Linked DNA regions of Cricetulus griseus. The protein of the gene in region 1 purifies or fractionates together with the protein of each later gene. This does not show direct contact. Links are inferred from orthologs where the notes say so. Each region holds a gene or a part of one and is shown in the gene's direction. Other genes may lie near its edges.

Region 1 (4,123 bases):
CGAAGTGGAACAGGAGGACGGGTAGTTCAAGGCCAGCCTGAGCTATGGGAGTGTGTCTCAAGAAACCTACCCGTCAAGCAAGTCATGATCAAGGCCTTCCTGGCCCATAGCCCCATCCGATAAAGAGGCGGCCAATGTCGCAGGGACTGGCTTAGTGGCGGGGGTTGTGGGACTAGGGGTTGGGGGTGGGAGTGGGGGCTGGGTCCTCGGCTCCCTACTGGGTTCGCAGGACCCTCTCCGGGGGCGCTGAGAGCGAGAGCAGGTGACAGTGCTGCTGTCCTGCTCCGAGGCCGCCTCGTCAGCCCTTGACCTCGCGGCCTCACCCGCCCCCTCCTCTCTGTCTCTCTCTCTCTCTCTCTCTCTCTCTCTCTCTCTCTCTCTCTCTCTCTGTCTCTCTCTCTGTCTCTCTCTCTCTCTCTCTCTCTCTCTGTCTCTGTCTCTGTCTCTCTCTCTCTCTCTCTCTCTCTCTCTCTCTCTCTCTCTCTCTCTCTCTCTCTCTCTCTCTCTCTCTCTCCCTCTCTCTCTCTCTCGACTCCTCAGCGGGGCTTCCCGGGCCTCACCCGTCGCAGCCTTCGGTCCTGACCAATGCAGGCAGCTCTGCGACCCCGGGACAACGGCTCGGCATCCCGTCGGCACGCGCGCGCCACGCCCGCTGTGAGGCCGCCGCGGCCTCCGGCTCTACCCTCCGACCCTGCCCGAGCGGCTTCGGGACGGTGCCGAAGGCGACCCGAGACCCTGGTGCTAGACCCGGGGGGGAGGAGGACGAGGAGGAGGAGGAGGAGGCCTCAGGTGACCAGGCTTTTACGCCTTGGCAAATCTCCGTGACAGGGACGTGTCAGGGCAAGGCCACACATACACACACACACACATACACACACTCACACACACACACGCACACACATACACTCACGCACGCACACACACTCACACTCACATACACATGCACACGCGTGCGCGTGCTCTCCCTTAAAGCAAAAGGTGTCTCCCACCTCAGTATTCCAGACCCTCGGTGGATCTGCAAGTCTTAGGATGTCACCCTAGGAGTCAAACCCAAGAACCAGGGCACCGGCCTGAAGGAGCTGAGCGTTACTGCGATTCGTTGTCACCTAGGCAACCAGCCTCGCCTGTGGGCCAACTGACAACGGCCCGCAGCTCTCTCTGCGCACGCGTGAAGCCGCGTCTCCACCTCCTCTTTTCCGTCAGGTCACATTTCTCAGAAATTTTGGCTCTTGGGACGCTCCGTAGTCGTAGGCGTAAATACCAGGGACGAAACAGTGATCTGGGTCGCGATTGGCTGGTACCCTTGTCCCCGGAGCTCAGGGGAGCTCGCGCGAAGGCTGAAGGGAGTGTGAGCGCCGGCGGCCGGGGGAAGGCGGAGAGCCGGTATGCCTCGGTATGCGCAGCTAGTTATGGGCCCCGCGGGCAGCGGGAAGGTGAGGCTCGAGGAGCTGCGGTTCGTGGGCGTCGGGGCTCCCGGGAGCCCTGGGTAATTCGCTTCCGCTCTCTGCTTGTTCCTTGTTTTTGTTGGAGGAGTAAAGGCAGCTTTACTAATTACTGGGGGGACAGGAGAGGTGGCTGAGCGCTTAAGATCTTGTGCTCTTCCAGGGAACTGGAGTTCGGGTCCCAGCACACACACAGAGCTGTAACTCCAGCCCCAGGCCTCCACGAACAGTGCATTCACGTGCAGGAACCCACACAACACACTTTGTTTTCTTAGCTTTTTCGAGACAGGGTTTCTCTGTGTATCTTTGGAACGTGTCCTGGAACTCATTCTGTAGACCAGTCTGGCCTCGAACTCACAGAGATCCACCTGCCTCTGCCTCTGCTGGTATTAAAGGCGTTCGCCACAACCGCCCGGCCTGAAAATAATAATATTAATAGGATACTTTTGCTCCAGGAACTGCTCTGGCCGTCCCAAGTGTTTTCATAACCACTCCCTAGCTTAAACCTATACTCATTCTACAGAAAGGATAACTTTTCAAAGTCATACGGTTCTGGCCAGAATTTGAGTCCGTTTTTGACTCATTTCGGTACAGGCCCTCTGTCACACACCCAGAATAGGGTCTTGTTCTTCACTGTTCCTCAGAAGTTTGAGCCTTGGGTTCCATCCCAGCACTCGAGGGAGGGGAGTGGTGTAGAGAGGGTGGTTGGGATATGGACTTCTGATACTTATCTGGCTTGTGTACACTGCCCAAAGAGACCAGAAGAGGGTGTTGCTTGTGGAAAACCCAGGTCTTCTGCAACAATAATAAATAAAAAAATTAAGTTAACTAATTACTTTTGGAGACAAGAGTCTTAACTGTGTGGTCCACCCTAGCCTTAAACTCATGGAAGTCCTGCCTTGACTTTCTTTGTGCTGGGATTATAGGTAGGCACTCCCACGTCTGGAAAAAGTTACTTAGAATTTTGTAATTACCTTCGTATTATGAGAAATATAATATTTGGTTTTTTATTTATTTTTTGTTTGTTTTGGTTTTTTGAGACAGGGTTTCTCTGTGTCTTTGGACGCTGTCCTGGAAGTAGCTCTTGTAGACTAGGCTGGTCTTGAACTCATAGAGATCCACCTGCCTCTGCCTCCCGATTGCTGAGATTAAAAGCTTGGGCCACCACTGCCTGGCTTGTTGTTTTATTTTAAATTGTGATATGAGTTTCCTTGTTTTGTTTTGAAACAGGGTTTCTCTGTGTAGCTCAGACTGTCCTGGAACTCATGTGTAGACCAAGCTGGCCTCCAACTCAGAGATCTACCTTCCTTTGCCTCCCATGTGCTAGACTATGTTTCCTTGTAAATATATATTCGGGGAATAATATTAGGGACACTAAACACAGTAGAAAAGACAAAGATAATGATTACATATCAAGTCTTCGGAGGTGTTGTGTCACTTGAGTATTTAATAAACACAGGTTCTGAGTACCAGAGTTATGCATGTGACTCTGCAGAGCCTGTAATCTATTTGGGAAGATGCATAGCTGGCATGTCAATCATAGTACATTTTGATGTATGAAGGGGTGGTCCCAGTCAGAGAGAGCAGTGTGTCAAAGGGAAGCATAGTGGAAATCATTTGCATAATCTAAGTTTTGGACTGTGTTAAAGTTCTCTGAGCCCAAGCCACATCTTGATCTATAGCTCTGTTTTGACTGCCTTCCCAGCACTTTTCCCAAAGGTGCAGCTTTGGCCTGAGTGGACACTGCCCCAAAGAGTGGCAAAGTCCCCTGGGGGTGTGAAGGGCGGCACCACACTTGCCCCGTGTGCTAACCACCCCACCTTGTCATGTTACAGAGCACCTACTGTTCCACCATGGTTCAGCACTGCGAAGCCCTCAACCGCTCTGTCCAGGTGGTCAACCTGGATCCAGCAGCAGAGCACTTCAACTACCCTGTGATGGCTGGTGAGTCCTGCACAGCGTCCCCTGGCACTGAAAGTGGGCTGCTCAGCCCTGAGGGTGTGTGTTCTTGGGAAGCTGCTAGAGGAGGTGACATCAGTGAGGTGAGAGGAAGGCACAGCTTCAGAACGGACAAGGGGGAAGTTTTCATGAAAGAGCTGCTGCTCACCTTAGGTCCAGCTGAGCAGTTTGTCAGACAGTGATAGAAAGTGGCTGTTAGATGTGGGGACATGGTGTCATTGCCAGCTGAGGCCAGTGTTAGCGGGGGAGCAGTGGGGCTGAAGGCAGGTGGGAGTGGACTGGAGTGAAGTGGCAGGTGCTACAGTGTGGACACTGCCATGGAACATTTTTATTTTTTGCTTGAGATTTGAAATAGAATTTCATGTAGCTGAGGCTGCCCTCAAGCTCCTTGTATAGCCAAGGATGACCTTGTACTTCGAAACTTTTGCATTTGCCTTTTGATGGCTGGGGTTACACACTAGAGCCGGGAGTGTGGTCATGAGGAGAGTGTGGACTGCTAGGTGGAGTCAGGGAGCAGGCTGAGGAGGGGTGGAAACCACCTTCATTGCTCTCAGAGAAAGGCAGGCTGTGGCTTCCAGATCATGTGGGTGAGAGCACTAAAGCTGCCTTAAGTGAAAAGATGTATTAGAAGGACCTAGGACCTTAAGAACCCAGGAGGGAAACTGTATGAGATGAGAGGCCTGCCCAAATTAACAGGAGCCAAGACCAACTTCATGTCGGTT
Region 2 (3,565 bases), on another chromosome or scaffold:
TGTGCCTCTGAATCCTCATACTAATCCTGGGAGGTGAAACTTGGCATCTTGGTTTCACAGCAGGTTCTGTAGGTTCAGAGCTAGGAACAAGGCAGTTCTCAGCACTTTTCCTCTACACAACACCTGCGGGTTTAAAAGGCCAGGCTTCACACCTGCCTGTTCTGGGTGAACTTTTTGCCCCATGACTGTGCTGACAGCTGAAGACAGTGAAGTGAACTCTTGAGAATTCTTTAGTCAGTGTCCAGTGTGATGGGCACAGGCTTCAAGGCCTCCAGACTGTCTTTGAGCACACCCTTGTGCTGCTTCCCAGAGCCTATACAGGACGAATTCTGATGTTAATAATAACTATTTTCAAATGACTGTTCACTGCTTCTTAATATTATTATTGAATGGATAATTTAGATCAGATTACTTTTTCTTTCTACTTACCTCCTGTGTCTTCCCTGTTTAGGCAACATCTTAGGTGTCATTCGAGACCATAAAAAGCTTGTCAGTACATTTCGGCTGATGCGAAGAGCGGGATATATCAATGAATTTGTTTCTATCTCCACGAATCTTACAGACCGATGTGTTTATATTTCCTCTGATGGAGGACGGTTGTGCAGGTATGTTGCTACAAAGAATTTAAGTCTTTTTATGTGAACTTTTAAAAGAAATGGCCTTACTTTTAGTTTTGAAGCTGCTTTAACCTTTCTTGTCATGGAGATGCATCTAATTCAGTTATTAGACACTTTGGAGATAATTTGAAAACTAATGGAGGATAGTTTTTGTCCTCAGAGAGTTTCATCTGCCAGGAGAAACACAAATAGTTACTAATAGCAACCAGTTGTGCTAGGATTGGATGCTAGTTATTGTTTGTTGTCTTATTGGGTATGCTATCTGTGTAAGACTCTTACTATATGAGAAACTTGGGGGTCTGTGAAGGTGAGCCACATACCCAGAGCTAGACTAGAGTAGAATTGGGTTTTTTCTTGGTAGTCCTTAGAAGTCACATGAGTCCAACAATCATCATGATTTTTTACCTCTGTAGTCTACCCAGCCTTAAAGTGTTGGTAGAATTATTTTGCTTGATCAGATAGTAAAAGGAGAAATGCTAAGGAAATGAAAGTGTGAAGACACAGATGAAGAAGGTAACTAGAAAAGTAGGCTCCTTTTGTTCTTCCAGAAAGTGTGTAGATACTATCACACACAGGTAGTCTTTCAAGCAGACAGAAATCCAACTAGTATCTGCCCCACCCCACCCAAACTTACTCGGCACGCCTGGATTGTCATAACTGTCCCAGTTCCTGATATTTCTCAGTGTCTCTCCCCTTTCCTCCATTCCTATTCCTTCTGGAACTTCATAATGCTTGTAGTAAAGTAATTTTTGCTTACCCTGTTCAAAGTTGGTTTGTCTTATGGTGTTGTTGAAAACAATATACCCACACTGGAGTCCTAATTGGCCACTTAGTGACTGTGATTCTAGTATTTCTAACTTTCTGAGGCTTGGTTTCCTTGTCTGTGAAATGTAAGTGGTGATGCCTACCTATGCCTGTGCTAAGAACTAGCTAGTAAGCTGTGGGAAGTACTTACAGAGTATCCAGAGTTGTTCCCAAATGGCCTAGGCCAAGTGTGGTGGCTCAGTGGCCTTAATCCTAGTATATAGGAAGCAGAGACTGGTGGTGGATCTCTGTGAGGTCCAGCCTGATGTCTGTGGTGAGATCTTGCTTTAAAAAGAGGAAGAAAGTTGGTATTAGACAACATGGCCTTCTGAGGGGCAGGAGAAGCAATGGCATGTTCTAAGCTATTCCTGTTTGTAATTTTGTTATTTCACTGTATCCATATAAAACATGTTCTAAAAGGAAGTTAACTGTTTTTCAGAAGTAATTTTATAATTCCAGCACAGCTCTGGCTGGAATAGGAGAATTTATTGAGGAAAGGGGCTTCTCCCTTCTTTTCTGGTTTCTGCTCAGTCCTGTGAGCCTTGACCTGAGCTACTGGAGTGGGGCAGGAGTGGGCAGAGGTACTGAGTGGGCAAGAGTGGGCGGAGCTCCTACAGTGGGTGGGAGTGGTTCTCTGCATCCTCACCAAAACGCCAGGATTTGAGGTACTGCTGACTTCCTTGAAGAGCTTGCCCAGCTCCTTCCTCCTTTTTTGAGTGATCAGAGTGATCAGCTCCTCCTCTTGCCCATTTCACAGTGCTCATTAGTCGTCAAGAAGTCATTTGGGCTTCCAACAAACACACAAGTGTCTGCTGGCTTCTTGTTCCCCCTCTGTAAGAGCTGCTTGTCCAAATAGCAGCAGCACTTGACGTTTCCATGCCGCATGCCCTTCTTTTTGTGGGTATTTCCTTGTAGTGGCAGAACCCTCAGAGGCAAGTCACACTGAAAGTTACAGGTTAATCTGACAGAGTGCTCTCTCCATCTCACCCCCAGCAGTCATTATAAGTCACCAGTAAAGAAGCTGTGTTCTCTTCTGCATAAACATCCAGCCAAGCAGAGCTTTAAGTCACTTGTTAGTCTATTTCAGTGATGTTTGTCATGCATCAAACCACATCAAACATCTGGGCCTCCTCTGAACTCTCAAAATAAATGCCATTATTGTCCTCAGTGACAAGTCTCTACCCGCTGACACCATACATCAGTTCTCCCATGTGGGGGACATGCCCCAGGACTCCCCAGTGGATGCCTAAAACCATCAATACTATCCTTTCAGTCATATAGCTGAGACTGCTATGCTACTACATAGCTGTGTAGCATGCGGTCACTAGAGAAAAGGTTGGTTCCCTTCCCAGCTAGAGTGGTACAGGGTTGTACAGGATTTCACCACACTGCCCAGAAGGCTATACATGATTTAAAAGTTTCTAGACCACAGTTGACTCCAACTCACTAAAATCACCAAAATCGTGAAAATCCTGAAGCATGGTAAAGGGAGATTGCTATACAGCAAGTATTCCCAGCAGGAAATGAGGCACTTCTGTAGTGGTTTACACAGTTTAAAATGTGGCATGAAGATTTTGTGCCCTGTCTAGACTTCATTGTGATTTTTATGTTGCCTTTTCATTTAAATCCAAATGATTCTTAGGATAATCGGAGGGAAACTGAGTAGTGAATACACACTCACATAAATATAAGGAGGTGGAGAGAGAAAGACTCTACATGTTCATACAGCAGTTCCAGAACAAGCTTCATCTACCCTCTCTCATTCCACAGTGGTCAGTAGAGCTGACTTACACCATCCTTCTAGTAAGCTATCTTTCTCCCTTTCTAGGCCTTACATAATTGTCAAGAAGCAAAAGCCAGCAGTGACAGTTAAGCACATGGAAGAGTTGGCTCAAGGCTACAGGTAAGTGACCAAAAGTAGACATTATCAATCTCTTTAAATATGGGCTAGATGCTTTCATCAGCAGTAACATTCTTCAATATATACTGTAAGGATGGTATATTTTCATCTCTAGTCTATTAAGCCCTCCCCGCCAAATGTACCAGCAACCAGTTAAAACCATTTTATATGCAGTAGCCTGCATATGATGAAGTGCTTGACAAATAGTTCATGAGGATTGTAGAGCCTTGCCATAAATTATAAA
Region 3 (2,848 bases), about 81 Mb from region 1:
TTAAATGGATATTAAGGTGTGGTGGTGCATACTTTAGTCATATCACTTTAATTCCAGCAGTTGGGAGGTAAAAGGCAGGCAGATCTCTGAGTTTTCAGGCTAGCCTGGTCTACACAGCAAATAGATGGTGAGACCCTGTCTATAAATAGAATGTATAATATTGGTAAAGTTTGTGTTCGGATTAGCAGGATGGGAGAAGTGTGGACATTAGTTATAGTTAGATTGTAACATACCTTCTGGGAAAATAGCACCCCCTCTCTTGAATTGGATTTTAGTCAGGTGCCGGCACCTTTTAAAGTCAAACTGACTTTGCCTCTGGTTGGCTTTTCCTGAGCATTCAGCTGGCATGGCCGATGTCTTTATGGCCCTTGATATTTCTTCCTCTCAGTGCATTAGAATTAGCATCAGATCCAATGGGTGTGCTGGAGGAGAGAGACCTCTGAATTGTCTCTAGGCTTTTTAAAAATACCTATCTTGAGACATTTTTAGGTTAAACCCTTCTGAAATGGGTTGCCTGTGACAAAATAGTAAACTAGATACCAATTATGCCTACCCATAATATTCCTGGGCTGAGGTAGGGAGCTGTTGAAGTTCAGGAGTGTGTGGTGGGGGGTGGTAGTGAGGCGAATGAGAGATAAGCCCCGAAGCCTGCCAGCAGTTGGTGGTAATCCTTATATGTGGAAAAGTCCCCTGCCAGTCTGAAATTTACTGGGACCTTTTTGAGTGTTAATTTCCATAAGACTTTACTTATGGAGGAACAGTCTGCATGGAAGGAGCAGTCAGCAGCCTTAATGTCTTGGCTCTTTTGTGCCATTGAGGTGTACTCTTCAAACCTAGAAAATATGATTTTAATGTAGAGAAGAAAGTGTGTCCGTTGGAGACATCAGCACCACTTTGATGATTTCTTCTACTGGCAGCTGGTTCGGTGTGCATGGCACAGTTAGTGTATCTGTTCACAGCTGCCAGAGTGCCAAGCTGAGTTCTCAGTTTCTCGTGTAGAGGTTAGCTGTTTTGATTGCAGCATTGCTTGCTAATGAAAGTCACTAGCAACAGCAGCAGGCTGACAGCTCTCAGATACATCACCTTGTGTCTGGCAGGGCATAGCTGTCAACATCCTGTGTTGCCAGAGACAGTGGAAATTACACTCTTTATCCTGGACCCGGGGAGCTGTGCATGTGTTAACTTGGGCTTTGTTCTTTGTTTTAAAGGAGATGCAAGCAAAGCTCGCAGCACAGAAACTAGCAGAGAGACTGAATATTAAAATGCAGAGCTACAATCCAGAAGGGGAGTCTTCAGGGAGATACCGAGAAGTGAGGGACGAAGATGATGCCCAGTCCTCGGATGAATTCTGAAGATGATCATGGGAGTTCTATCTCCAAAGCTGACTGTTCAGCCGTCATTGCCTCATAGCAACCTTCCTATCAAGTATCAAGATCAGTGTCAGACCTTGTTGAGGGACAGCAGTTTTTAAAGTTACACTACGGTAGCTACAAAATAAGAGCCCAGTTTGTCTTTCAGAAGATGATCTTCATGTGCTTGAACAGTTTTAATATTTGAACATTGTGTTTGACCGTATTGTATTACAGTTTTGCAGTATGTTGTGCATTGTTCTGATATTTTAGTGTGAGTAGAGCACATTTTTTCTTTAAGATAGCTGCTTTTTCCTTATTCTTATTCTTATCAAATAGCATTGCTTACATCCCTTCCGGTAAAGTACTTTGTTATCCCAGGCACCTAAAATCAATTAGGAAGACCTGGTTCCTTTTCTTGAGAAATGCAAGGAGCAGTCTAGAGAATGGTACGCATGCTTGCATGGAGTTCCTGAGATGTTGGATGTGAAATACTGTGGAAGACACTCGACTTATACAACAAATGTTTATTTGCTGTTCCTGTCTTCTCTTGGGGTGACTGCTATCTTCCTGTGATGAAGATAGGAGCACCTTGAGGAGGTGCTGGGTGGGGAGGGTCTTCTGAGCTGGGGTGGGGAGCTGCTCTTGGCTTCCCCAGCTCATTGCTGTCTTGGATGATAGGTCAGCGTACAGGGCGCTCATGTTTGCTAAGGAAACTGGTGTTTTTCTAAGAGTTATGGTTGAATTGTCAGTATGTTGCTTTTTTCCTTTTTAAACCCAAAGAGGTGTTTATAGGCTGCAGAAACCTCAGTCTCATATATGTACACATTTGTGTTGTTTAAATGATCATATCATCATCTCCAGCGAAGGTAACAATATGTTATCAAAAACCCTTTCTTTGTCTATTATGTGGAACCTGTAAAGGAGAAATAAAATAACAATCAAAGCAACTTCACATGCTGACAGTTATATTTTGTGGTGCTTGTTTGAATTTTACTTCTTTAAAAGCAGTGTTCTACATGAAGTTGGACTGAAAACATTTAGGTCAGATACACATAATGTAAAGGTTCCATAATGGGTGCTTCTAACTGAAATAAGCACTTTCCATGCCCTCCCACTAAGAAAGGACTGCTGTAAGAACTAGATGGAACCTGTGGTTTTAAAACTACTAATAGATGATGTTTGGTGTTCACAGTCTGTAGATGAATTAGTGTTTCACAAAGGTTGGTAAAGGAGAGCTCATGCACATGCATGAAGTTGCAATTGAACCCCTGTGAGTTGACCACTCTGTCTATTAATACTTGAGTGTTCATACTTTGACTTCTCTTTCTTTCTTTCTTTCTTTCTTTCTTTCTTTCTTTCTTTCTTTCTTTCTTTCTTTCCTTCCTTCTTTCTTTTCTTTTGAAGCAGGGTTTCTCTGTGTAGCTTTGGAGCCTATCCTGGAACTCGCTCTGTAGACCAGACTGGCCTCGAACTCACAGAGATCCGCCTGCCTTTGC
Region 4 (4,303 bases), about 13 Mb from region 1:
TCTTCTTCTGAGTTTGAAAGGAGACATAAAAGCCGAGGAAGATGCCTGCATTATCTTTGTGCCTTCTGCCTTGAAGGAGGATGAGCTGGGCTAGGTATCAATGGTCCTTAGGTAGACACTCCAGGGATAACAAGTCAATATGCAGAGCAAGGGGGAGCATGATGTGATTGGTGTTTGAAGGGTTCCAAAGCCCTCTGGCACCTGGCATTGTCTTCACTTGTCCCCTGGTGGCACTGCCATCTTCCATGTTATACAGTGAAGTTTTAGTGCTCATGTACCAATGGCTAGGCTGGCTCATACCTGTTACTCCAAAGACTAGGAGACTGAGTTATTGTTCCTGTTGCTGTGTCTACAAACCCGACAGAAGCATCCTCAGGAAGGGTTGGGATGTCATAGCAACAGGAGTGCCAGGCAGCTGATCACATTGCCACCTGCATCCAGGAAGCAGAACAAGATGGTTTCCTTTCCTCTTTTATTCAGTCTGAGGGCTTAGCCTCTAGGATGGCATCATGCACGTGGTGAGTCCTTAATGGTGAGTCCTTAATGGTGAGTCCTTCCTTCCTCAGTTAAACCTGTCTAGAATCTCACCAACACACTCAGAAGTTTTTGTTTTGTTTTGTTTGTATATACATTGTGTGTACACAGGGAGGTCAGAGGAATTGGTTCTCAACTTCTCCCACATGGGTCCTGGGGATTGAACTCATGTAGTCAGGCTTGGTGACACTATCTTTACCCACTGGACTGTCCTGCTGGCCCACTTGTCTGTTTCCACAATGATACTAAATCTCATCAGGTTGACAAAATGAACCATCATGGAGGCTGGAGAAATAGCTCAGCAGTTAAAGACTGACTACTCTTTCAGGACTAGAGTTGGGTTCCCAGCACCTCCAAGGCTGGTCTCCAAAGGCTCCTGTATGTACGTTCTGCACAGACAGGCAGATAGAAATCTTTAAAAATAGGAAAAATAGCCACAATAGCCACAAAGACGGCTGAAAAGCAGAGAGGTGCCAGGCTGTCATTGTTTTTTGGTTACCTGTGTGTCCAACAGAGGATCCGCTGGCACCCTGTCACTTTTACACACCTTCCTGCTCCTCATCCAGCCAGCCGGGGTCCTGCAGCAGCAGCTCATACACATACACAGCTTGGATTCCAGCTCAGTGAGCCAGTTGCAGGTGGCCCAGCCTTCCCTCGCTGGAATATGCGCCAAAGAGCCGCCTGGTGAAAGCCACTTTTTTTTTTTTCTTTTTGTTTGTTTTGTTTTCAAGACAGGGTTTCTCTGTGTTGTTTTGAAGCCTATCCTGGCACTCACTCTGTAGACTAGGCTGTCCTCGAAACCACAGAGATCCGCTTGGCTCTGCCTCCTGTGCTGGGAGGTGCTGCCCCTGGGGTTTGGACAGGATTTCTAACCTGCTCCGCCTCGCCTGCTCGTGCCTGCCGAAGGTCATCCGGTCCACCAGGGGGCGCGGGGCCAGGGGCTTTGATTGGCTGTGTCCTCGTGACCCGGAAGTGGTCGCGGTCCGGAGCTCAGTGTGGTAACGGCGGCTGCGGCTTGAGTCTGGGAGCCGGAGCGCACCTCTAGGATGAACGCTCCTCCGGCCTTCGAGTCGTTCTTGCTCTTCGAGGGCGAGAAGAAGTAAGTGGAGGCCGTTAGCTCTGGCGCGGTGAGCACTGTGCTTCGTGCGCGTCTGCCGAACTTCAGGCGGTGGTGCGATGTACGCCTGTGTTACAGCGGGGAAACTGAGGCCGGGGCACGTCGAGCCCTTGCTCCAGACACTTAGGAAGTGTCGGGGACTGTATTCGAACTCAGAGTGTCAGGCTCCCTTTTCACTGGTCTGCAGCCCCATTATCCATGCTGCGCAGCGATGGCTTTAGAGCTCACCCCCCTGCATAGGGTGCGATCGCCTGTGATTCCAGGACTTGGCGACTGAGGCAGGAGGATAATGATGGTAGCGGTGAAGGGACCGAGACACAGCTACCCTCTCACACTCCTCAGCAGCCTGAGGATTTCCTCTAGATTTTCAGGGATCTCGGCCAAACTCAGGTTCGTGGCTTCAACACTAGAAAGAATTTCAGGACTCGACGGTTTAATGACGCACTCAGGAGGCACAGGCAGACGGATCTCTGAGTTCAAGGCCAGCCTGGTCTATAGAGGTAGTTCCAGGACCAAGAGAAATCCCGTTCTGAAAAAGAAAAAAGGAGCAATCCTGTGTGGGAAAGGGTCCTTGGTGTGTATAGATAAGGTGCCATCACGGAGTAGAGAAGGTTCCTTGTTTTTTTGTTTTGGTCATGCTGGGGACTGGACCCAGGGTCTGGCCCATGCTAGGTTACTGCTCTATCAATAAGCTACACTCGAGCTTTTTTTTTTTTTTTGTAGTTTTCTTTTGGTTTTTCAAAACAGGGTTTCCTCTGTGTTGCTCTGGCTGTCCTGGAACTCGCTCTGTAGTGCAGGCTGGCTTCGAAGTCACAGAGATCCTCCTGCCTCTGCCTCCCAAGCGCTGGATCAAAGGTGTGCTCCACCACTGCCTGGCTCACTCCAGCTCCCCCTGCCCAACATTTGCTAGGCTGGGGAGATGGCTCAGTGGGTCACAGCTCAAAGCATTTGCTGAGGATTGGTGTGGATCTCCAGAAGCCGTGTCAAAGCTGTGCAATGTGCCTACTTCATTGCTCCTCCAGGGACGTGGAAGTGTAGATAGGAGTCAGCCAGCATGGTCTGTCAAGGAAGGCAAGGATGACAGTGTTTTTCTCTGCCCTCCTGCCCCCGTCACTGGGATTACTAGTCCCAGTGACTAGTCCCAGCAGGCCTACCTTGCTTGTTTTGTTTGGAGGGGGAGTGAGTGGTAGGATGAAACCCAGAGCCTTAAAAATTTGAGATAAATGGTGACCCATTGAACCATGCCAGAGCTCTCAGAGAGCCCTTTGGGGCGAGCAGACTGGGGATAGTGGGACTTGCAGAATGATGGCCTCCCTTGAATTGTTAGGGGGTTTGGAGACAAGCTGTTTTCTGTCTTCTAGGAAAGAATTTAGTCAAGAGCTAGTTTAAGACAACCAATTTGTATGAGGGAAAGAGCTGGATGTTTTTGTTTCTGGGGTAGTGGGAACAGCCCAACTGCAGTTTCTAGAATGTTTGATCACAAAGGGGACACCGATTTGAGAATCAGTGTCAGCATCACAAGAGCTGGATGTGGGGCCAGGGAAAGCTATCACCCTCAGCCTTTGCCTGTCTCATTGTAGAATCACCATTAACAAGGACACAAAGGTGCCCAATGCTTGCCTGTTCACCATCAACAAAGAAGACCACACTCTGGGGAACATCATCAAATCGTAAGTCCCAGGCCAGAGGCCTCGAGTGTCACCAGAGCTCTGTAGGCTGAGCACATGCCCTGGGACGGTTCCTTCCGTCTCTCCGCAGCTTGCTGGCACTTTAACCTGTCACTGACAGGTCTGTTCACATGCGGCTTGCTTTTGTTGGCTTTTTGATGTAGGGGTTCATGTAGTGTAGACTGGACTCAAACTGACTCACCTTACCATGGTTGCCGGGATCCTGGCCACGTAACACGTAACACATCAGCTTCCTGTTGGCTCATTCATGTAGTGTATAAGTTTGCAGTTGCCTCTTGGTCTTTTGGCCAAGATCAAGTTCAGGGGACTCCAGCAAAGCAGGTTTTCATTTTAGTGGGCATCAAGATGCTAAGAGGTGATGGGTATGGTGGTACACACCTGTAATTCCAGCACTCGGGAGGCAGAGGCAGATGGAGTACTTGTGAGTTCAGAGCCAGCCTGGTCTACATAGTAAGCTCTAGGACAGCCAGTTACATACAGTATCTCAAAAAGATAAAGCAAAGGGGGCCAGCAGTGTCACCTCACTTACCCCTACATTTGATAGAAAGCTGCAGGCATCGGCAGATTACCAAACTTTTGTTACTGGGTGATTGCCAGTGCTTTCAGAGCTGGGGGGGTGACAGACGGTCCCCACCTGACATGAGTGCTGGGAATTGACTCTGGCTCCTCTCCAAGAGCAATACTTTCTTTAAATTTAAAACACCTTTTGCCTATGTATGTCTACCGTGTGTCTGTTACCCATGAAGGTCAGAAAGAACTAGATCCCTTGGAGCTGGAGGTACAGGTGGTTAGATGCCACATGGGTGCTGGAAACCTTTTAACTAATCCAGTTCTCCAGCCTTCCCTGCATGTAATGTGCTGGGTCTGGTGGTTTGTGCCTTTAACCACAGCAGGCAGATCTCTGTAAGTTCAAAGCCAGCTTGGCCTACATTGAGTTCCAGGATAGCCAGGACTGTTAAGGAAA

Evidence for each region.
Region 2: the proteins of Gpn3 (region 1) and Polr3b purify together in Homo sapiens (affinity purification with mass spectrometry; 3 studies listed by BioGRID and IntAct, counting the BioPlex papers as one, with this or other methods). This does not show direct contact. The link is inferred for Cricetulus griseus from reciprocal best matches to the Homo sapiens genes GPN3 and POLR3B.
Region 3: the proteins of Gpn3 (region 1) and Polr2m purify together in Homo sapiens (affinity purification with mass spectrometry; 3 studies listed by BioGRID and IntAct, counting the BioPlex papers as one, with this or other methods). This does not show direct contact. The link is inferred for Cricetulus griseus from reciprocal best matches to the Homo sapiens genes GPN3 and POLR2M.
Region 4: the proteins of Gpn3 (region 1) and DNA-directed RNA polymerase II subunit RPB11-a purify together in Homo sapiens (affinity purification with mass spectrometry; 4 studies listed by BioGRID and IntAct, with this or other methods). This does not show direct contact. The link is inferred for Cricetulus griseus from reciprocal best matches to the Homo sapiens genes GPN3 and POLR2J.

Annotation. Positions count from the first base shown.
Region 1 is NC_048597.1:102,212,067-102,216,189, forward strand, and holds the start of Gpn3 (GPN-loop GTPase 3), read left to right. Parts: upstream 1-1,279; 5' UTR 1,280-1,385; coding exon 1,386-1,433; intron 1,434-3,277; coding exon 3,278-3,484; intron 3,485-4,123. Other genes in the region: protein FAM216A, read right to left, coding at 561-625. UniProt on the Homo sapiens protein: Small GTPase required for proper localization of RNA polymerase II (RNAPII). May act at an RNAP assembly step prior to nuclear import.
Region 2 is NW_023276806.1:150,759,603-150,763,167, reverse strand, and holds part of Polr3b (DNA-directed RNA polymerase III subunit RPC2), read left to right. Parts: intron 1-451; coding exon 452-605; intron 606-3,249; coding exon 3,250-3,324; intron 3,325-3,565. UniProt on the Homo sapiens protein: Catalytic core component of RNA polymerase III (Pol III), a DNA-dependent RNA polymerase which synthesizes small non-coding RNAs using the four ribonucleoside triphosphates as substrates.
Region 3 is NC_048597.1:182,985,541-182,988,388, reverse strand, and holds the end of Polr2m (protein GRINL1A), read left to right. Parts: intron 1-1,208; coding exon 1,209-1,352; 3' UTR 1,353-2,304; downstream 2,305-2,848.
Region 4 is NC_048597.1:115,110,980-115,115,282, forward strand, and holds the start of DNA-directed RNA polymerase II subunit RPB11-a, read left to right. Parts: upstream 1-1,476; 5' UTR 1,477-1,580; coding exon 1,581-1,633; intron 1,634-3,231; coding exon 3,232-3,321; intron 3,322-4,303. UniProt on the Homo sapiens protein: Core component of RNA polymerase II (Pol II), a DNA-dependent RNA polymerase which synthesizes mRNA precursors and many functional non-coding RNAs using the four ribonucleoside triphosphates as substrates.